Anolis sagrei: one gene and its partners. Each later gene encodes a partner of the first gene's protein in a complex. Links are inferred from orthologs where the notes say so. Each region holds a gene or a part of one and is shown on either strand. Other genes may lie near its edges.

The links.
Region 2: TIMM21 (region 1) and TIMM17B share a complex: the UniProt entries of both Homo sapiens proteins name them as parts of the TIM23 complex. The link is inferred for Anolis sagrei from reciprocal best matches to the Homo sapiens genes TIMM21 and TIMM17B.
Region 3: TIMM21 (region 1) and SMIM20 share a complex: the UniProt entries of both Homo sapiens proteins name them as parts of the MITRAC (mitochondrial translation regulation assembly intermediate of cytochrome c oxidase complex) complex. The link is inferred for Anolis sagrei from reciprocal best matches to the Homo sapiens genes TIMM21 and SMIM20.

What each region holds. Positions count from the first base shown.
Region 1 is NC_090024.1:72,469,916-72,477,842, reverse strand, and holds the start of TIMM21 (mitochondrial import inner membrane translocase subunit Tim21), read right to left. Parts: upstream 3,449-7,927; 5' UTR 3,239-3,448; coding exon 2,941-3,238; intron 1,155-2,940; coding exon 1,092-1,154; intron 981-1,091; coding exon 883-980; intron 1-882. UniProt on the Homo sapiens protein: Participates in the translocation of transit peptide-containing proteins across the mitochondrial inner membrane.
Region 2 is NC_090022.1:178,483,005-178,490,673, reverse strand, and holds the start of TIMM17B (mitochondrial import inner membrane translocase subunit Tim17-B), read left to right. Parts: upstream 1-4,035; 5' UTR 4,036-4,117; coding exon 4,118-4,143; intron 4,144-7,669. UniProt on the Homo sapiens protein: Essential component of the TIM23 complex, a complex that mediates the translocation of transit peptide-containing proteins across the mitochondrial inner membrane.
Region 3 is NC_090025.1:112,997,875-113,006,514, forward strand, and holds the start of SMIM20 (small integral membrane protein 20), read left to right. Parts: upstream 1-5,006; 5' UTR 5,007-5,088; coding exon 5,089-5,197; intron 5,198-8,640. Other genes in the region: SEL1L3 (protein sel-1 homolog 3), read right to left, coding at 1,012-1,197.

The DNA of each region.
Region 1 (7,927 bases):
TGTCCGTAGACACCTGTGGCTGGCATGACTACATGGAGCGCCGTTACCTTCCTGCAGAAGCGGTACCTATTGATCTACTCACATTTGCATGTTTTCGAACTGCTAGGTTGGCAGAAGCTGGGGCTAACAGCAGGAGCTCACTTCGCTCCCTGGATTTGAACTGCCAACCTTTTGGTCAGCAAGTTCAGCAGCTCAGTGGTTTAATCCGCTGCGCCACCGGGGCTCTATGGAAGTGTAGACTCATATAGTCCAATAGAAAGCATATAATGTGGATTATCTGCTTTGATAATATGGATTATATGGCAGTGTAGAAGGCCCCTGAGTCTACACTGCCATATAATCCTGTTTAAAGCAGATAATCTGGATTTTATATGGTAGTGTAGGAGGGGCTAGGGAGGGAGGGGAAAAAAAGCAGGAACCTGATTCTCCATTTTCCAAAAATATAAATTCCAGCACCTTATGTGAAATTCAGACTCCTTTATCAATGGAAAATAAGGTCTGATGAATTATATAGCATAGATTATGTTTTTTTAAGTAAATAAAAGCTTAATTAAGTAGCTTTACCTAGCAAAGGGAATATACTGTGAAATGTAAAATTCCAGTTTCAGATAGTATAAATTGATCCTTCTATATGTCTCCTTTTAGTAGCTGTTTTGCAAAGCAACTACTTTCCCTAACTACTAGGACAGGTTCCAGTAGTGATAACATTTTAAAAATTGCTAAGAAAATCCAGATTTAGTTCTCCTGTTTTGGCAGAACAAAAAACAGACCTTTAGCCACTCATTCCCACATTTAAAGAGTTCTAGAAGGCAAAGCTTCCTTTCACATAAAGGGGCACTCTTTCAGAGAGAAACACTCCTTCATAAAAACAGGCAAACCAACCTCAGGGTGAGCTCTGCATTTCTCCAAGGCATCTCCATAGATTTTACTAGGACTGGAAGAAGAGAACAACTCTTTAAAAATCACATAGAATAAACCACCTGAAACAGAGGGGAAATAAAATGTAAATGACACAAGAATTTGTGTACTTAAATGGCCAAAACTTAAAACATTTGTAAGTTGGGAAAATGTTTTCATCCAGTTTCAACAACCTGTGACACCAATCCCGACTACCACCACTATCAAGTAGGTGAAATCTCTTCCAGCTTCTTTCACTAGAAGAAAAAAAAGAAAAGTTATACAATATCAGGTAACACAGCATGCTCCTAGTGGTTTCCTCTAATTTGGTAAAGATATGAAAGTAGCAGCTTTTGTTTCAAAAACAATGGAAATTACTTTACATGTCTCAGCAACCTCAAAAAGTGTGAAGTTGGCCTATTCCTTCTCATCTGAGGCCCTTCCAGATAGGTAATATACCCCAGTATCTGATCCAAGGTTTTCTGTTTATCCCAGATTATCTAGCAGTTGGGACTCATATAATCTGGGGCCCTTCCATACAGGCACTATATACCAAGATTTGATCCCAGGATTTCTCTTTTAAACTGGATTATATGAGTCCACACTGCCAAATAATCTGGGATAAACAGAAAACCTGGGATCAGATCCTGGGATATAGAGCGTGTCTGGATGGTCCCTAAGGGTACATCTACACTGTCGAATCAATGCAGAATGGCATCACTTTAACTGTCATGGCTTAATGCTATGGAATCATGGCAACTAGATCTTTCACCTTCTCTGTCCAAGAGTGTTAATGCCTCATCAAACTATAACTTCCCATTGAGCTATGGCACTTAAAGTGGGCTCAAACTGCATTAATGCTACAGTGAAGTGCATTAATTCTATAGTGTGTAAAGACAGACTAAGGCCCCTTCCACACAGCTGTATAAAATCCACATTGAACTGGATTATATGGTAGTGTGGACTCAGCTAATCCAGTTCAAGGCAGATATTGTGGATTATCTGCCTTGATATTCTGTGTTATATGACTGTGTGGAAGGACTCTAAGTGTCAGAATATTTTTGCACTCTGTCAAGTAGTTTTAAACTGTACAAAGTGCAGTTGTGCGGCTTTTTGATGTCAGTTGTATGGAGGTCATACTTTATATGCTTTCTTTGTGTACCACATTAAAAACCTATTTTGGCTGACAGGCATTCAGACCATAACTTTGGACAGCATATCTGTAAATTCACCTCCTTCCACTGTGGAATTAATGCCGTTTTGGTACCACTTTAATTGCTGTGGCTCGATACAATGGTATAATAATTGTAGTTTGATGAGGATCCAGCATGCTTGGGGGAGAGAAGGCAAAAGTCCTTGCAAAACTACATCTTGCAGGATACCACAGCTCAATTGACAGCAAAGGTGCACCTGTACTATAGAATTAATGCGGTTTGGCACCACATTAAGTACCATGGCTTAATCTATGGAATTTGGGGACTCGTAGTTTGATAAGTAGATAAGTTTGATAGTAGAGGTAAAGATGAAGTATTTTGGCCACATCATGAGAAGAAAGGAAAGCTTAGAGAATTCAATTATGCTGGGGAATATGGAAGGAAAAAGGAAGAGGGGCTGAACAAGGGCAAGATGTATGGGTGGGATCCTTGAAGTGACTGGCTTGACCTTGAAGGAGCTGGGGGTGGTAACGGCCGACAGGGAGCTCTGGCGTGGGTTGGTCCATGAGGTCACGAAGAGTCGGAAACGACTGAATGAACAACAAAAGTTTGATAAGGCCCTAGCCTTTTCTGCCAAAGCATGGTGTGTCACCATACTGCAACTCCCTAGATTCCATAGCATTGAGCCCTGGCAGTTAAAGTGGCACTAAAGTGCATTAATTCTGCAGTGCAGATGCACTCCTTGGAAGGGGATGCACCAAAGTTATGGCACGATGCACCCCATTCATATCAACTGAAAGCAATACTCAGGTTTATTTCCAGGTAAGAGGACAGAAGCATTTCAGCCTTCATTGCCTAACTTTGGTTGACAGCCATAGGCATCTCTTACCTTTCTGAGCAGCTGAGAGAGAGGTCCCTCCTTTCTGGCTTCTTTGCACAGGGACCTGGGAGCTGTTTTGGCCTTTCCCAGCCCTCAAGGCCCCTGCTGGCGTCCACACCTTTCGTGGTAGCCCCCCAGAGGCTACTCTAGGGTGCAAAATATACTCCCCTGGGCTTGCCCCGAGCCTGAAGCACCCCAAAGTCCTTTCACGCGCTTTCCTATGCTGCAAGTGCAACCACTTCCCCAGCACCTTGTCATTGCAGTGCATTCCCCGCAGAAAGGAGGAAAAGACTGCGAAGGGGGGCATGGCTGCCTTGAATAAATATTACCCTTAGATGACACCCAAACTCCTCTCCCCTCCGATGCCAAAGATTGAAAACATTGTCCCGGACTTAACGAGAGAAAGAGGGGTTATATTTCCTGCTGCACTTTGATCAAAAGTAAAAGCAGCTTTTGCAATCTACCCCGCCATTGTGTTTCTTTGCAAGCGTTTCTGGGACATGTAGTTTGCTGGACACACCGATTTGTTGATTGGGTAGCCTCTTAAAGGGAACTACAACTACCATGATGCAAAGGGCCATCGGCTCTTCAAAAGCATTGCAAGGATTTTTCTTTCAGTCTCTCCCTGGCTAATCCTTTCCTCCAGGAAGGAAGTCTAAGCAGAGAGTGCGCCTTCTGCAGGAAAAAAACACTTCTTTTTAAGCCTAAGGATATACACAACATAACTCTTGTGTTTAATACTGAGGAAAAAGGAAGGTTCTCATGCTGTGCTGCTTATATGAGATCATTACTTGCACTTTAGGCTTTGTAAAATTTATTTAGACTTTTATTATAGCCTGCCCGCTGAATAGACAGACATCTCTGCCCCCCCCCCCGCTTTTGCCATTTTATATCTTTACTAGCCGTCCCTTGCCACGCGTTGCTGTGGCCCAGTCTGTGTATATGTGTTTTGTGTGTGTATATATTTGTGTATATGTGTATTTATGTGGTTATGCATAAATACACATGTGGTTACGCTGAATCTCCCAGTGGTGCAGTGGGTAAAACTGCTGAGCTGTTAAACTTGGTAACCGAAAGGTCGGAGGTTCAAATCCAGGGAGCGGCATGAGCTCCCGCTGTTAGCCCCAGCTTCTGCCAACATAGCAATTCGAAAACATGCAAATGTGAGTAGATCAATAGGTACCTCTCCGGCAGGAAGGTAATGGTGCTCCATTTAGTCATGCCAGCCACATCGTCTATGGACAATGCCAGCTCTTGGGCTTAGAAATAGAGATGAGCACCACCACCCCCCCCCCCCCCGAGTCGGACACAACTGGACTTAATGTCAGGGGAACAATGTGGTTATGTGCATGCATTGTAGTGTATTTTTTGGCTTTTAAAGTCTAGTTTTCATTGTTTTTATGAGTAATGGTTACTCATTGGCCTGATAGGTGTATTGTGTCCAAGTTTGGTGTCAATTTGCCCAGTGGTTTTTGAGTTATGTTAGTCCCACCAACGAACATTACATTTTTATTTATATAGATTACTTATTGAACATTTCACTAGCATGTGGCAATTGTACATTGGATGTTTACAGCATTGGTGTACTTCACACAAGGAGTCCAGCAATAACAAGGCGATGCCCACCGTGATCAATATTCTGTGTTTTAATGCTCGGATTTTATATTGCTATTCTGTTTATTTATATTGGTTTTGTATCTTATGCAATTTTCTTTTCTTTTTGTTGTTGTTGTGTTCTTGTGTTATATTGTTTTACTGTATTGTTGGGCGTGGCCTCATGTAAGCTGCCTCGAGTCCCCTTGGGGAGATGGTGGCGGGGTATAAATAAATTATTATTATTATTATTATTAAGGCAATAACAAGAAAAGGGAACAAAGGCCAACAGACATTGCTGTATTTTCAAAGAGCTATTAGTTTGTCACAATACAGGTTAAATATTATTTATTTGGAATGTTTAGGGCAATAATAATAATAATAATAATAATAATAATAGTTTATTTTTAACCTGCCCTCTCTCCCTGAAGGGACTCACAAATGTTGGAGCTTTCATATCCCCCCCCCCCCCCCCTGAATTGCGAACATCTGTATTTATATGTACACACATAATGAGATATCATGGAGATAGGATCCAAGTCTAAATACATAATGTATAGTTTCATATATACCATATACATATAGCCGGAAACATTATACACAATATTTTTAATAACTGCATGAAACAAAGTTTTTATACATTGAACCACTAGAAAGCAAAGTTGATACTATGTGGATGTTTTCAGAATCAGGAATGTTTCATATTTTGGAATAGCAAATAAAAGATACCCAACCCATAATCACAGAGAGAAAGAGAGAACTTGTGACACTCATAAGATTATTTGGTTTATTTTATGGTGTACTTTTGTGGGCTGCAGTCTGTTTCTTCAAGAGGTGGTACAATATCCAGACATACACGCAGTGGCATATTGTGGGAGTAGGAACAGGAAATACAAATACTTCATCACATGTAGGGAAAGTAAGACACATCCTATTGAAGAAAATCATCTTGACACACCTAACATCATGATGACACAATAAATAAATAAATACCTAACATCATAGAATCATAGTGCATCTAAAATAATAAAATCCCAACTGTAAGATATTAAAGATTGGTCACTTCCATGCTGTAGAATAATTCAGTCTGATACCACTTTAATTGCCGTGGTTCAGTGCCATGGACTCAGGAACTTTAGTTTTATAAGGTCTCTAGACTTCTCTTCCAGAGTATTAATAGTTCACTAAAGTACAGGTTCCAGCGTTTCATAGCACTAAGCCATTGCAGTTAATGTATAGTGTCAAACTGCATTATTTCTACAGTGTTGATGCATCTTTGGGCTTCTCTTCTCCATCCTAAACATATTAGCCCAGCAACTTTACCACCAGCTGCAGTAAATCTGGCTATTCAGAAGGTTGGCAGTTCAATGCCTGGTTCAGGGTGAGCTCCTGGCCTTCAGCCCAGCTCCTACCAACCTAGCAGATTGTAAGCAGCAATTGAGAGTAGATAAATAGATGCTGCTTTAAAAGCATGGAGGTATTTAGGTATATGTAAGTAAATGCTAGAAAAATCCTGGCAATTCAATCAAGGAGGAAGTTTATGAACAAAAGCTTTTCAGTAGGGATGATGGAGCGACAGCACCCCTCGTGGCCAGAACTGAGCACAACCTTCGAGATGCCAAAGATGGGAAATTCTATATATACCTCTATCTATGTGCAGTTGTTTTTGAACTGTGTTGTTGCAGGAAAATTCTGAGAGTGCCTTGGACCACAAGAAGATCAAACCAGTCCATACCCCAGGAAATAATACCTGAGTGCTCACTGGAGGGAAGGATATTAAAGGTAAAGATGAAGTACGTTGGCCACATAATGAGAAGACAGGAAAGCTTGGAGAAAATAATGATGCTGGGGAAAATGGAAGGAAAAAATGAAGAGGGGCAGACCAAGGGCAAGATGGTATCCTTGAAGTGACTGGTTTGTCCTTGAAGGAGCTGGGGATGGCAACAGCTGACAGGGAGCTCTGACTTGGGCTGGTCCATGAGCTCAGAAAGAGTTGGAAGTGACTGAACGGACAGCAACAAATGTACAGTTGTCTGTCTTGACATTGTATAAACTGCATTGAATGTTTGCCTTACATATATTCTGTGATCCACTCTGAGTCCCCTTTGGGGTGAGAAAGGTGGAATATATATATTCTAAATACATACATACAATTCATACATACATACATACATACATACATACAAAAACCAACTTTAGAACACTTTGCAGTTTTGTCAGAGATTTTGATATTATTGTGTAGCAAATGAATCTGGAGGGAAGATCTGAAAAAAATTGGGAGACTTTAACAAATCTCATTTTATATACAAAAGGTCTGAAGATTGTTTCTTACATTACATTTATAGTTAATTTTGACTATGGCTGTGTGTATAGCCTGTTCTTTAAAATAAGATTATGCATTAAGCAAAAAAAAAAAACTTCTGGAAAGAAAATGCTTTGACGCTAGTTACTTGCCAACCATATTGTGCACTAATAACAGATGCTGAGATATTTGTGCTAAACCAGTTTAAAGCCCTTGGAAGGTTTATGATTTATGTTCCTAATACAGTTGTTGTATCCCATTGCACTTATATCCCACTCCCACAACTATGTAACTACATATATATTTGAAGTTTGAATGTCGCATCGTGCATCTGAGGATGCAGCTGGAATTACCCTTAAGCAAATTTAATTATGTATAAACACGTAGTCTTTGAAACATTTAGCACTGACAACCCTAGCAGCTATCATTAAATTTATAAGGTCCTAACACTAGAAGTCAATTTGCTTAATAAATGTTAAGTACAGATATATATTTAAAATGTGTACCACATATCTCCCATGAAGTGTGATCCAGAATGTTTAACATCTATCTTATGTGCTTTTTTGCCCATCAGGGCTGGTCAAACACATGTTGCTGCTAGAGGCAAAGTGATAAATGATGCCAGGTTATTCTGGCTCATGCAATAAAAAAATCTTCACGTACTTTTTTAATCATCCCTGGCAGTAAAAATATAAAACAACAAATTAAAAATCTTCGTAATTCACTCACTACCTTTTTGCAACACCAGATTGCTGCTTGAGATGGCCACTCAACATGTTGTGGTGTGCTGTCATGTCATTTCTGACTCACTATAACCCCTAGGTGAATGTATCATGCGGTTGTATTATCCAGATTTGTTCAGAGGGAATTTGCTTTTGCCTTCTTTTGATGCTGAGAGTATGTGACTTCAGATTTACCCATGTTCATTGGGTGGTTTCAATTGTCCTTTTTTGGGGAGCAGCTATCCCCAAGCACCATCATCCGGAACCTGCCTGAGAGGTACGACCAGAACCAGTGCAACACAGTATCACTGATTCCCATTCCCGCCAGGCGTTCCAGAAGGGATACCATGGTTGATCGTATCGAAGACCGCTGAGAGGT
Region 2 (7,669 bases), on another chromosome or scaffold:
TGAGGAAAAGAGATCTCCATTGAAGCTTTCCCACCAATCCTTGTTTCCACAACAAGCCATTTTTTTCCAAATCCTATCATCACAAGGACAAAAAGTGCAACAAAATCTTCTGAACTGGGGCACAGACAGCAAAACAAACACCACAGGAGTGTTAACCCTTCCCTGTGCTGTCAAAAGCGCTCCCCCCCCCTTATACACACATATTTGGATGGCTGGAGTTACAATGAAAAAATGTACCTGTTCCAACTTACAAATAAATTCAACCTAAGAACAAACCTACAGAACCTACCTTATTTGTAACTTGGAAACTGTCAGTACTGTGAAAGTTCATTCTGGGATAGTAGGAGGAGCAATCCATTGCAACTGGGTTTAACTGGACTGACTCACTCGTTTTCAGTTGAACCATTAAACTCATTCCTCTTCTCCAGCAGATTTACTATCAAACTATAACCTAAAACCCAGGCCCCTTCTACACTGCCATATAAAATCCAGATTATCTGCTGTGAATTGGATTATATGGCAGCATCATAATAATAATAAAAATAATCATCATCATCTATATAAATAAAAATATAATGTTTGTTTGTGGGATTAACATAACTCAAAAACCACTGGACGAATTGACACCAAATTTGGACACAATAAACCTATCAGGCCAACAAGTGACCATCACTCATAAAAATACTGAAAAACACAGCAGAAGGGATTTAAAAAGCCAAAAAATAAAAATTACATTACAATGCATGCGCAAACCCATATATATATATATATATATATATATATATATATGCACACACATACACACACACACACATACACACACACACACACACACACACACATATGCAACCACACATATACATACACAAAATACATACAGACTGGGCCACAGGGGATGGCTACTAATAATAATAATAAAAAACTTGAATTATATTCCACCCTCTCTCTCCTGGGAGACTTAGGGCAAATTCCAACAAATAAAAAAACAAACATTCAATACCTCAATAACAGTAAATACAAATATAATCCAGTTCAAAGGAGATAATATGAATTATCATCTGCGTTGATAATCTGGATTATACGGCAGATTGTTCCTCTTCAAAATACATCCCTTCTGCTTATTGAAGCTGCCCTTGACTGGAGGTAAATCTATACAGTATTTTAACAATGTTGTGCCTGAAACAATGTACCTTGGAGCATCAGCAAACCCATGTGACACATTTTGGATAATTTGGATTACAGAGAAGGAGAACTCCACTGGTTCCTCAGTACAGTAATGTCTGAATGTGGGTGCATCTACACTGTAGATTTAATCCAGTTTGACACCACTTTAAACTGCTATGGCTCAATGTTATGGAATCTTGGAGCTGCAGTTTGGTCTTTTGGCAGAGAAGGCGAAGCAGATTATAAAAAATTTAAATCCCAGGATTCCATAGCAAGCTGGTGTCAAACTGCATTAATTCTGCAGTGTAGATGCACTCTATTCTTCAAAGCTTTAGCTGAGCATCATTGGGTGCCCCCTCTTCATAAATACAAAGGTAAAAACAACACAAACATTCTGTTTGAAGAAGCTCATACCTGATTCCCTGCTTTCAGTCTTTTCGTCGGAGCCAATCAAACACAAGTCCACTCAACACAACCGTTTCCAATATTAAAAGCTTTTTGACCCGACAAAGCCGCCGTCCGTAAGAGCTTAAGCTTCCTTTCCCCCTCTGCACGTGACACCACCGCAGCCTATCGGAATTCGGCATCTATTTTTTCCCTCCTTATATTATTGATCGTCAGGTAAACGGGCAATGCACCAATGCGAGGGAAAGCCTTTCACGTCAACCCGCCCCTTAAGTCCCTCTTAGCCTATCAAAGACAATCTTCTTTTCTTAACGAGATGCCCTCAAACAGAAACGACAGGCCTCATTGGTTGGTTGGATTATTTCTCTAGAGATATAAGGAAATTGTCAGCAAATATGGAAAACACAAGAATGGCCATCAGACTGGAAAAAATCAACCTATATCCCCATACCAAAAAAGGGAAATGCGAAAGATTGCTCAAACTTCCGTACAGTGGCCCTTATTTCCCATGCCAGTAAGATAATGCTCAAGATCCTGCAAGGAGGACTCTAGCAATACATGGAGCGAGAGTGGCCAGATGTACAAGCTGGGTTTAGGAAAGGCAGAGGAACGAGAGACTAGATTGCCAGTATCCGCTGGATAATGGAGAAAGGCAGGGAGTTTCAGAAAAACATCTATTTCTGCTTTATTGGCTATTCTAAAGCCTTTGGCTGTGTGGATCATAATAAATTGTGGCAAGTTCTTGGTGGGATGGGCATACCAAATCGCCTTGTCTCTCTCCTGAGGAATCTGTATGAGGACCAAGTAGTAACAGTCAGAACTGACCATGGCACAACAGACTGGTTCAAGATTGGGAAAGGTGTATGGCAGGGTTGAATACTCTCCCCCAACCTATTCAACTTGTATGCAGAACACATCATGCGATGTGCGGGGCTTGAGGACTGCAAGGCTGGGGTGAAAATTGCTGGAAGAAACATTAACAACCTTAGATATGCAGATGACACCACTTTGATGACTGAAAGCGAGGAAGAGCTGAGGAGCCTTCTAATCAAGGTGAAAGAAGAAAGCGCAAAAACTGGGTTGCAGTTAAACATTAAAAAAAAACACCAAGATTCAGGCTGATAACTGGCAAATAGAAGGAGGAAACGTGGAGGCAGTGACAGATTTTGTATTTCTAGATGCAAAGATCACTGCAGATGCAGACTGTGGCCAGGAAATCAAGAGACACTTACTTCTTGGGAGGAGAGCAATGACCAATCTCGATAAAATAGTGAAGAGTAGAGACATCACACTGGCAACAAAGATCCGAATAGTTAAAGCAATTATATTCCCCGTAGTCACCTACGGATGTGAGAGCTGGACCATAGGGAAGGCTGAGCGAAGGAAGATCGATGCTTTTGAACTGTGTTGTTGGAGGAAAGTTCTGAGAGTGCCTTGGACTGCGAGAAGATCCAACCAGTCCATACTTCAGGAAAGAAAGCCCGACTGCTCATTTTGAGGGAAGGATAGTAGAGGCAAAGATGAAGTATTTTGGCCACATCATGAGGAGACAGGAAAGCTTGGAGAAGGAAAAAGGAAGAGGGGCCGACCAAAGGCAAGATGGATGGATGGCATCCTTGAAGTGACTGGATTGACTTTGAAGGAGCTGGGGGTGGTGACGGCCGACAGGGAGCTCTGGTGTGGGCTGGTCCATGAGGTCACGAAGAGTCGGAAGTGACTGAACGAATGAACAACAACAAGAGATTCCACATTTGCCCTACAAAAACAGAACCCGGAATTTCCAATGCAATTTACCATCCTTTTCTGTTGTCACACTCCTCACATAACACTTTGGTAGAGGGTGTGTGTACCACTTTACACCTAATGCAGAATGGGTTGTTGTAGATTTTTTTCGGGCTATATGGCCATGTTCTAGAGCAGTGGTTCTCAACCTGGGGTCCCCAGATGTTTTTGGCCTACAACTCCCAGAATTCCTAATAGCTGGCAAACTGGCTGGGATTTCTGGGAGTTGTAGGCCCAAAACATCTGGGGACCCCAGGTTGAGAACCACTGTTCTGGAGGCATTTTCTCCTGCATCTATGGCAAGCATCCTCAGAGGTAATGTGGTCTGTTGGAACTAGGAAAGTGGGTTTATATATCTGTGGAATGACCAGGGTGGGACAAAGCCCGAAAAAACCTACAACAACCCAGTGATTCTGGCCATGAAAGCCTTCGACAATACTAATCCAGAATTCTGAGATTTGTAGTTGGGGAGGAGACTTTGACATCCTCAACTGGAGAAATCCTGGGCCTTCCTAAACTACAAACCCCAGAATGCTGAAGGAGGAGACAGCAGGATTTAAAGTGGTAGGCACAGTCTTGACCTAACTGTACTGTAGTCTTGTATTCCTATCTCTATGGTGACGACCAACCTGTTGGCGGCGCTTCCACGCGGAGAAGTTTGTCCCCGCCTCACGCGCTGACCGGCAGCCAATCGGAGGCGGTTGGGTGATCCGGGTCTTTCTAGTTCCTCCTTTCACGTGACCGGCGCTACTTTCGCCTGGGAGCGATGGAGGAATATGCCCGGGAACCCTGGTAACTGGACTTGGGCTGGGGTTTGGAGGGGGAGGAGGAGGAGGCCTTTCTTGCTTTATCATTACCATGAAAAGGAGTTGGGCTGGGTTGCTCGCCCTGGACAAGGGCCTTCTGACTTTCTCGGGGAGGGAACTGAATCAGAGGCCTTTTTTGGCTGCCCTTGAGAGGGAGACATCTTTCTCTACCAATACGAAAGGAAACAAACCTCACAAAAGAGGATTGAGCCGACCCACCTGTAGTTGCTTTCTTCTTTTTCTTTCTACCTCACTAAGCGTTATTGACTTTCCTGGCGAGTCATCTTATAGGAGAGTTTCAGGATACATTTCCACTGTAGAATCATAGAGTTGGAAGCTGCCCTACAACTCCCACAATCCCTTACTATTCACTATGCTTCACTAGAAACTGAAAAGTAAAGAAATCTAAAAGTAAAGGTTTTCCCAGACATTTTTTTTTGTCGTGTCAGGAGCGACTCGCTTCTTGTTGTTGTTCATTCGTTCAGTCATCTCCGACTCTTCGTGACCTCATGGACCAGCCCACGCCAGAGCTCCCTGTCGGCTGTCACCACCCCCAGCTCCTTCAAGGTCAGTCCAGTCACTTCAAGGATGCCATCCATCCATCTTGCCCTTGGCCGGCCCCTCTTCCTTTTGCCTTCCACTTTCCCCAGCATAATTGTCTTCTCTAGGCTTTGCTGTCTCCTCATGATGTGGCCAAAGTACTTCAACTTTGTCTCTAGTATCCTTCCCTCCAATGAGCAGTCGGGCTTTATTTCCTGGAGGATGGACTGGTTGGGTCTTCTCGCAGTCCAAGGCACTCTCAGGACATTCCTCCAATACCACAGTTCAAAAGCATCTATCTTCCTTTGCTCAGCCTTCCCTATGGTCCAGCTCTCACATCCATAGGTTACTACAGGGAATACCATGGCTTTGACTAGGCGGATCTTTGTTGCCAGTGTGATGTCTCTACTCTTTACGATTTTATCGAGACTGGACATTGCTCTCCTCCCAAGAAGTAAGCGTCTTCTGATTTCCTGGCCACAGTCTGCATCTGCAGTAATCTTTGCGCCTAGAAATACAAAGTTTGTCACGGCCTCCACATTTTCTCCCTATATTTTCCAGTTGTCAATCATTCTTTTTGCCATAATCTTGGTTTTTTTGATGTTTAGCTGCAACCCAGCTTTTGCGCTTTCTTCTTTCACCTTGATTAGAAGGCTCCTCAGCTCCTCCTCGCTTTCGGCCATCAGAGTGGTGTCATCTGCATATCTGAGGTTGTTAATGTTTCTTCCAGCAATTTTCACCCCAGCTTTGCATTCCTCAAGCCCCGCGCATCGCATGATGTGTTCTGCATACAAGTTAAAAAGGTTGGGTGAGAGTATGCAGCCTTGCCGTACGCCTTTCCCAATCTTGAACCAGTCTGTTGTTCCGTGGTCAGTTCTTACTGTTGCTACTTGGTCCTTGTACAGATTCCTCAGGAGAGAGACAAGGTGGCTTGGGATGCCCATCCCACCAGGAACTTGCCACAATTTATTATGATCCATACAGTCAAAGGCTTTAGAATAGTCAATGAAGCAGAAATAGATGTTTTTCTGAAACTCCCTGCCTTTCTCCATTATCCAGTGGATATTGGCAATCTGGTCTCTCGTTCCTCTGGCTTTTCTAAACCCAGCTCGCTTCTGGTGTGAGAGAATTGGCCGTCTGCAAGGACGTTGCCCAGGGGACGCCTGGATGATTGAATGTTTTTATCATCCTTGTGGGAGGCTTCTCTCATCTCCCTGCATGAGGAGCTGGAGCTGATAGAGGGAGATCATCCGCCTCTCCCCGGATTCGAACCTGCGACCTGTCGGTCTTCAGTCCTGCCGGCACAGGGGTTTAACCCACTGCGCCACTGGGGGCTCCTCACCTGTGAGGATGCTAGCCATAGATGTGGGTGAAATGTCAGGAGAGAATGCCTCCGGAACATAGCCACACAGACCCGAAAACTCACAGCAATCCAGTGATTCCAGCCATGAAAGCCTTCGACAGCATATTATAAAATGTACAGTGAGCACCAAAATAGAGAATTGTATACAAATACATAACTATATAACTAATGATCTAGGTCAAGAATATATTCTGAGCAGTCTGCAAATCGAAAATTCTGGTAGGTAGTAACTGTTGAACCTAGCCGTCACAGAAGCTAAAACTTTGTTTATACAAAACTACCCGATTCCTTACTTTGTAAAGAAACTGATGCTTGAAAATCCACTCAAAATTTGATGAAATATATATTATACTTAATTAGTACTTGCAATAGGAATCTTGTAGCACCTTAGAGACTGAACAAGAATAAAGTTCATAAGATTTGAGGACGTAGACTCAGGCTGGATCTAAACAGCCCTATGTCCTAGGATCTGATCCCAGATTATCTGGCAGTGTAGACTCACACATTAAGTTCAGTTGAGTCCAACTGTGTGTGGTGGTGCTCATCTCCATTTCTAAGCCGAAGAGCCGGCGTCGTCCATAGACACTTCCAAGGTCATGTGGCCGGCATGACTGCACGGAGCGCCCTTATCTTCCCCTCGGAGTGGTACCTATTGAGCTACTCACATTTGCATGTTTTCAAACTACTAGGTTGGCAGAAGCTGAGCCTAACAGTGGGAGCTCACCCCGCTCCCTGGATTTGAACCAGCAACCTTTTGGTCAGCAAGTTCAGCAGTTTAACCCCCTGCGCCACCAGGGGAACTCTTAGAATCATAGAATAATAGAGTTGGAAGAGACCACATTGACCATCTAGTATTCTAGGCCAATCCCCTGCCACGCTGGAAAAGCAGCATCAAAGTACCCCTGACAGATGGTCATCCAGCCTCTGTTTAAAAGTTTCCAAGGAAGGAGCTTCCACCACACTCCAAGGCAGAGAGTACCACTGCTAAACAGCTCATACAGCAGTGGTTCTCAACCTGTGTCCCCCCAGATGTTTTGGCCTCCAACTCCCAGAAATCCCAACAGCTGGTAAACTGGCTGGTATTTCTGGGAATTATAGGTCAAAACACCTGGGGACCCACAGGTTGAGAACCAGTGTCTTACAGTCAGGAAGTTCTTATAGAATCATAGAATTGGAAGAGACCACATAGGCCATCCAGAAGCAGGAAAATTGCATTCAAAGCACCTAATTCTTCCTAATGTTTAGGTAGAATTTGAAGAGTTTCAAAGGCATCAGAAAGCAAGCCTGTTCCCTCTTCCTTATGACACCCTTTCACATATTTATACATGGCAATCATGTTTCTTCTCAACCTTCTCTTCTGCAGGCTAAACAGACCCAGTTCTTTAAGACGTTCCTCATAGGGATTCCTGGTCTCCAGACCTTTGATCATTTTAGCCCCCCCTTCTTTGGACACCTCCCAGCTTGTCAATATCCTCCTTGAATTGCAGTGCCCAGATTAAGACCCATTATTATACCAGGTGGGATCTGATCAAAGCAGAATAGAGAGGCACCACGATTTCCTTCAATCTAGACGCTATACTCCTTTTGATGCAGCCCAAAATCGCATTGG
Region 3 (8,640 bases), on another chromosome or scaffold:
TCTACTAAAAGGTCTGGGGTGCTTTGATTGTGCTTTTCCTGCACGGCAGAAGGGGGTTGAATTGGATAGCCCCTGGGGTTTCTGCTACTACTACTATTAAAAAGTCTGGGTGGTCATCTGTCTGGGGTGCTTTCATTGTGCTTTTCTTGCATGGCAGAAAGGAGTTGGATTGGGTAGCTCCTGGGGTTTCTGCTATTACTACTACTACTACTACTAAAAAGTCTGGATGGTCATCTGTCTGGGGTGCTTTGATTGTGCTTTTCTTGCATGGCAGAAAGGAGTTGGATTGGGTAGCTCCCGGGGTTTCTGCTATTACTACTACTACTACTACTACTACTAAAAAGTCTGGATGGTCATCTGTCTGGGGTGCTTTGATTGTACTTTTCTTGCATGGCAGAAAGGAGTTGGATTGGGTAGCTCCTGGTGTTTCTGCTATTACTACTACTACTACTACTACTACTACTACTAAAAAGTCTGGATGGTCATCTGTCTGGGGTGCTTTGATTGTGCTTTTCCTGCATGACAGAAAGGAGTTGGATTGGGTAGCCCCTGGGGTTTCTGCTGCTGCTGCTGCTGCTGCTGCTACTACTACTACTACTAAAAAGTCTGGATGGTCATCTGTCTGGGGTGCTTTGATTGTGCTTTTCCTGCATGGCAGAAAGGAGTTGGATTGGGTAGCTCCTGGGGTTTCTGCTATTATTATTGTTGTTGTTATCATTAATAATAATAATAATAATAATTGTCCACACTCAGATAATGTGGGATTTTCTGCCTTGATATTCTGGGATAGAGGGCTGTGTGGAAGGGCCCCTAAATAATAGTGAAAGAATGGATGAGGCTTGTGGAAGGAATGTGAGCTCAGGGGCTTTGGGGCTCAGCCAAGTGCTTGGGGAGCCCGTTTGGCTGCTTCTGGTGGCAACCAGGGAATGGCACCCGGACCCCATCCTGCCAAACACATGTAGGGTGGGCACCCCGTGAATATGAAGGGGGGCAACCCCAGATGCGACTCACCAGCAGCAGCAAGAGCAGCAGCAGGCAACGTTTGGGGAGGGAGATGAAGCCCAGGTTGTGGCTGCTTCCAAAGCGCGCAGGGGAAGGCACAGGTGAGGGCGCAAAGCTCTCCATCGCGGTGCCCACCGCGTCTCCTCCCTGGAAATCCGGCCACGGAGGAGGAAGGAGATCCTGCTTCCTGGACATGCCTCCCAGGACGAGGAGGAGGAGGAGAAGGAAGCAGGAAGGGCCGCCCAGACTAGGCAGGTGCAGCCACAGGCACCCGAAAGCACTCCCCGGCTCAGGATCTGTTTTTCTTGCGCCTCTGGCGCTTATTCTTGGAAAGGTGCCTTTCCAAGACTTCAGCCAGTCCTACACCTGAAACACACCTTTCCTGCAGACTTGATGGTTTCTTTTTGAACCAGAATTCACCACCTAAGCTCTCTTCTTCCTCCCTTTGATCCCCTCCTGGCTGTGCCTATTTCTTCACCCTGAAAGGACAAAGTTGGGTGCCTCTTATCCAGGACAGGCAGAATTCATGCTTTCATTGCCATGGCTCTCTGGAAGCATGGCTTTGCAGTTTGGGGAGGCTCCAGAACTCTTTGGGAGAAGAGACTAAGTAAAACTACAGCTCCCATGATTCTATAGATCAGTGGTTCTCAACCTTCCTAATGCTGTGACCCCTTAATACAGTCCCTCATGTTGTGGTGACCCCCAACCGTAAAATTGTTTTCGTTGCTACTTCATAACAGTCATTTTACTACTGTTATAAATCATAATGCAAATATCTGATATGCAAGATGTATTTTCATTCACTGGACCAAATTTGGCACAAATACCCAATGCAACCACATGTAAATGCTACTGGGGTTGGGGGAGGATTGATTTTGTAATTTGGGAGTTGTAGTTGCTGGGATTTATAGTTCACCTATAATCAAAGAGCATTCTGAACTCCACCAGTGATGGATTTGAAGCATTCTGAACCCTACCAATGGTGGAATTGAACCAAACTTGACACACAGAACGCTCTCGACCAACAGAAAACACTGGAAGGGTTTGGTGGGTGTTGACCTTGAGTTTGGGAGTTGTAGTTCACCTATATCCAGAGAGCACTGTGGACTCACTCAATGGTGGATCTGGACCAAACTTAGCACAAATAGTCAATATGCGCAAATGTGAACACTGGTGGAGCTTGAGGAAAATAGACCTTGACTTTTGGGAGTTGTAGTTGCTGGGATTTATAGTTCATTACAATCAAAGAACATTCTGAACTCCACCAACGATAGAATTGGCTCAAACTTCCCACATGGAATCCCCATGACCACCAGAAAATACTGTGTTTTCTGATGGTCTTTGGCGACCCCTCTGACATCCCTTCGCAACCCCTTCAGGGGTCCCGACCCCCAGGCTGAGAAACACTGCTATAGATAGATCTATTTATTGAGTAGTCCACTGACCATATCAAAAATAAAAGACAAAAACAAAAGCACACAAATAGATACTAGTCACTATCTTAAAACTCCTGGCTGGCATCACTGGGTTGCTGTGAGTTTTCCAGGCTGTATGGCCATGTTCCAGAAGCATTCTCTCCTGACATTTCACCCACATCTATGGCAGGCATTCTCAGAGGTTGTGAGGTCTGTTGGAAACTAGGCAGGTGAAGTTTATATATCTGTAGAACGATGCCCAGGATGGGAGTAAGTACTATTGTCTGCTTGAGGCAAGTGTGAATGTTGAATTGGCCAGCTTGATTAACACTGAATGGCCTTGTAGCTTCAAAGCCTGGCTGGTTGCTACCTGGAGGATCCTTTGTTGGAAGATGTTACTTGGACCCAACTTCTCCCTGTCTAGAATTCCACTGGGTTTTTTTTAGTGTTGCCCTTTATTTACTGTCCTGATTGTAGAGGGCTTGTAGCCAGATTTTGTTCATTATCCTGGTTTCCTCCTTTCTGTTGACATACTTGTGGATTTCAAAATCTACACTCAGGCCCCTTCTACACTGTAATATAAAATCCAGATTAACTAATTTGAACTGGATTATATGGTAGTGAAGACTCATATAATCCAGTTCAAATGAGTTAATCTGGATTTTATATTACAGTGTAGAAGGGGTCTGAGTGTAGATTTTCCCCAGAAAGAAAATAAGACAGGTTGGCAATTGGATCCCAGTTGGCTGTTCTAGCCCCGTAAACTGTGGGAATACTGTCTGGACTGCAGTATTCTGCAGTCCAGACCTGGAAATAGTGGATTTATTGCGTGCCTTCCAAGAAGGCATGAAATAAATCCACTATCAAATTAATTCACTACAAACCAGTGCATGAAACAATGGCTTCAAGCTACAGGAAAGGAGATTCCATCTAAACATTAGGAAGAACTTCCTGACTGTGAGAGCTGTTCAGCAGTGGAACTCTCTGCCCCAGAGTGTTGTGGAGGCTCCTTCTTTGGAGGCTTTTAAACAGAGGCTGGATGGCCATCTGTCAGGGGTGCTTTGAATGTGATTTTCCTGCTTCTTGGCAGGGGGTTAGATGGCCCATGAGGTTTCTTCCAAGTCAATCATTCTATGATTCAATGATAAGCATTCAACCTAATCCAACATGGCTCTTTCTCAAAAAATATTATATAAAGTAGTGAGGAACAGCAATGAACAACAACAATGTAGAACAATGGTTCTCAACTTTCCTAATGCTGCGACCCCTTAGTACAGTTCCTGATGTTGTGGTGACCCCAACCATAACATTGTTTTCGTTGCTACTTCATAACTGTAATTTTGCTACCGTTGTGAATTGTAATGTAAATATCTGATATGCAGGATGTAGTTTTATTCACTGGCCCAAATTTGGCACAAACACCCAATGCTCCCAAATTTGACTACTGGGGGGTTGATTTTGTCATTTGGGAGTTATAGTTGCTGGCGTTTATAGTTAACTTACAATCAAAGAGCATTCTGAACCCCACCAATGATGGAATTGAACCAAACTTGGCACACAGATCTCTCACGATCAACAGAAAATACTTGAAGGGTTTGGTGGGCATTGACCTTGAGTTTGGGACTTGTAGTTCACCTCCATCCAAAGAGCACTGTGGACTCAAACAATGATGGATCTGGACCAAACTTGGCATGAATACTCAATATGCCCAAATGTGAGCACTGGTGGAATTTGGGGAAAATAGACATTCGGGAGTTGTCGTTGCTGGGATTTATAGTTCACCTACAATCAAAGAGTATTCTGAACCCCACCAATGATGGAACTGAACCAAACTTGGCACACAGATCTCTCATGATCAACAGAAAATACTTGAAGGGTTTAGTGGGCATTGACCTTGAGTTTGGGAGTTGTAGTTCACCTACATCGAGGGACAACTGTGGACTGAAACAATGATAGATTTGGACCAAACGTCTCGAATACTCAATATGCCCAAATGTGAGCACTGGTGGAGTCTGGCGAAAATAGACATTTGGGAGTTGTAGTTGCTAGGATTTATAATTCACCTACTATCAAAGAACATTCTGAACCCCACCAATGATGGAACTGAACCAAACTTGGCACACAGATCTCTCACGATCAACAGAAAATACTTGAAGGGTTTGGTGGGCATTGACCTTGAGTTTGGGAATTGTAGTTCACCTACATCCAGAGAGCACTGTGGACTCAAACAATGATGGATCTGGACCAAACTTGGCACGAATACTCAATATGCCCAAATGTGAACACTGGTTGAGTCTGGGGAAAATAGACATTTGGGAGTTGTAGTTGCTGGGATTTATAGTTTACCTACAATCACAGAACATTCTGAACTCCACCGATGATAGAATTGGGTCAAACTTCCCACACAGAACCCCCATGACCAACAGAAAATACAGTGTTTTCTTATGCTCTTTGGCGACCCCCCAGGCTGAGAAACACTGACGTAGAAGATGTTGGCCAAATGAGGAAGTGAATCTGTTCAGCTGACAGTGAAGCATGGGTTGTTCCCCTTTGCGGCCACGAGGGGGCGTTGCAGGGAGGTGCTTACATCCAAACTCTTCCTGTCCCGGAAGCGGAAAGAAGGCTCCTGTGGAGTCGTGCGGGCTCTTTGCAGAAGCTTCTTCTTGCGTGGATGGCGCGCCTGCCTCGCACCCTCCTGGTCTTCGGGGGCTTCGTGGGCCTGGTGGGGGCGGCCCTGTACCCCATCTACTTCCGGCCCCTGATGCACCTGGAGGACTACAGTAAGTCCTCTCCTCCCCCTGAACTGATCCTGCCTTAGGCAAAGCTCCCCTAGGATGCTCCAGAGCCCTCTGCTTTGGACGCCCCCTCCCAGGAGCCTCAGCCAGCCTGGATGATGGGAGCTGCAGTCCAAAACATCAGGAAGGTCAAGGCTTAGGAAACACTAAGCCAGCCCAGCTTCCAGGCTTCAGGCCCACAAAGGAAGGAAGGGCCAATGTGCATGCCCATGTGATCAGCAATGTCATCCTGTGGGAATTAGGTAAAGGTTTTCCTCTGACATGAAGTCCAGTCGTGTCCAACTCTGGGGGTTGCTGCTCATCTCGAAGAGCCGGCGTTGTCTGTAGACACCCCCAAGGTCATGTGGCTGGCATGACTGCATGGAGTGCCATAACCTTCCCGTTGGAGCAATACCTATTGATCTACTCACATTTACACGTTTTCAAACTGCTAGGTTGGCAAAAGCTGGGGCTAACAGCAGGAGGTCATGCCACTCCCCAGATTTGAACCTGCGATCTTTCGGTCAGCCATATAGTGTTTGGGTGTAGTAAAATGTGAATTAGTAGAACCCTATACGGTTCCAGCCCAGTTTACTTATCCCAACATATCCTCCCCTATAATAAATAATAATAAACTTTATTTATACCCCGCCACCATCTCCCCGATTGGGACTCAGAGCGGCTTACATGAGGCCAGGCCCGAACAACAATTACAATAAAGAAAACCCAAGACACAACCGAAAATGCGAACAATAAACAGTAACATCATAATTACATAAAATATGTGGATACATAACAATATAAAAAATTACAATAGACACAGGCACAGTGACAATGGGTGGGCTACATGTAACGATTAAAAGACAAACTGATTAAAACTAATTAAAAACTAAGACAAGAACCATCAAGGCTGTTAAGATGTCCTGGAGGGGCCCTGCTCTCGGTCCCACCACCCTCGCAATCGCGTCTGTTGGAGACAAGAGACAGGGCCTTTTCTGTGGTGGCCCCCTAGCTATGGAACTCTCTCCTGATTGAGATCAGATCTGTCCCCTCCCTCCTGACCTTCAGGAGGCTAGTGAAATCCTGGCTATGGAACGAGGCATTCTCAGAATGATGGCGGAGACTGGCAATTGATTAAAGTTATCGACCACATATGCAGACTGAGTGGGACGTGATTTTATCTTGCCGAACTGTCTTTTATGTATTTTAGTCTATATGTATTTTAATTTATTGTACAATGTTTTAGATTGTATTGTTAGCATTCAATCCTTGCTATTAGCCAGTCTGAGTCCCTCTATGGAGGTAGAGAAGATCGGGATACACAAGTTTTAAATAATAATAATAACAACAACAACAACAACAATAATAATAGAAGCTCAGCTATAATGCGTACTGCCGATCTGAAAAGATACCATCAAATTTAAGACAGTCAATGAACAATACTGGGGTTCTTACATATACTAATCCTTCCTTCATATAAAGGATATCTTACCAACTCGGCCACCTATGATTTTGAAGAGAATTATCATGACAACATTAGGACTAATAATCAAAATTATTTTAGTATAGAATATTTTTTAAAAAAGAAAATGACATAGAAAGTGGTTGGCCCATTGGAACTGAAGGTACCCATCTTCATTGCAGAAGATATAGAGCAGTGGTTCCCAACCTTTGGTCTTTCGGGTGTTTTGGACTTCCAACTCCCAGAAATCCCACACATGGAGCACAGTTACCTTCCCACCGGAGCGGTACCTATTGATCTACTAACATTTGCATGCTTTTGAACTGTTAGGTTGGCAGAAGCTGGGGCTGATAGTGGGAGCTCACCCCGCTCCCTGAATTTGAACCTGCGACCTTTCGATCAGCAAGTTCAGCAGCTCAGCGGTTTAACCCACTGTGCCACCGGACCACTGTAAAATAAGATGGAAGTCGCCCATCTGTGAATGGTTAACATGTGAAAGGGGAAAGGGTGTAACCCAGGCATGGGCAAACTTGGCCCCTCCTGGTGTTTTGGACTTCAATTCCCACAATTCCTCAGATAATCCAGATCGAAGCAGATATTGTGGCATTTTCTGCCTTGATATTCTGAGTGGAAGGGCCCCTAGTGTCCTGGTTCCCAACATGAGGCACACACCCCACAGGCGGGCAATTTGAGAATGAGTTCTTACCAGTGAGTATTTTGCATTTCTTATGGTTCTAGCAGGCCTCATACACAGTATATCAATATATATTGTGCCATACAAATTTTAAAAACTAAAATCAAAATGTACACAGTGGTCAACAGGTGGCAGTGGAGAGGGGGAAGACTCTCTGATATAGAGCATGGAGTTCACTAGCGAGTGCATGAACACAGAAAAGTGAAATAACTTCCATTCCAAACACGCCACTCATCTTACTGACCTTCCAGACAGGCCTATACCCCAAGATCTGATCCCAGGTTTTCTACTTTAAACTGGATTATACGAGTCCCCACTGCCAGATAATGTGGGATAAACAGAAAACCTGGGATCAGCTCCTGGAATATAGGGCCTGTCTGGGGGGGGGGGGGGGGGCATAGGCTGGATTTACACTGTTCTATATTCCAGGATCTGATCACAGATTATTTTCTTATCCCAGATTATCTGGTATTGTAAACTCATATAATCCAGTTCATTGCAGACAATCTGGAATCGGATCCTGGGATATAGTGTAGTGTAGACTCAGCCTCAGTGTTCTTTTAACATTGCAAGCTATACAAAATATATCAAAATATATTTTTGTTCAGCATTTGAATATAGCAAGAAATCTGAAAAAAAAGTCCAAAACACAACGATTACTTTCATATATAAGTCAATGTTTTGTATGAGTAATAATAAAAAATATAATCAGCTGCAAGAAAATTAATGTCAGTTGACAGGATATTCCCGCATAGTCTCACCAAATACTGTACATGAAGTTGGACACTTATATTACCCTGAATTCGATGCAGATGACTCAAATCAATTGTGCCTCGAATATGACTACTGCCCATGTGATAGTTGTTCTATTTTATTACTTAACTTTATCAAGCACAAATTGTATTCATTAGCAAAAACTGGCATTGTCAGGTTTGAGCATAGCAATCTCACATTTTTCATTCCCATGATTTTTCCTGATATCTTCCTGGCTACTTAGAATACTTGGTTTTTGTTTTTGAAAAAGAGCCTTTTTTAATAGATAATGAGCATAGAAAGAGCATGCATTGAGACAGCATTAACTGTCAAAAAATGACATTGACCGTATTGTCAGAAAACCTACAAGCTGAAATTTTAGACCTAGCTTCACTCTCTGTGGCTCTTTCTACACTGCTTTATAATCCAGATTATCAAAGCAGATAATCTGGATTTTATATGGCAGTGTAGAAGTTGGCTTTTTGAATAATACAAACTGTATGTCGGGGAAAATCAGGATTTTAGGGATGCTATTTGAGA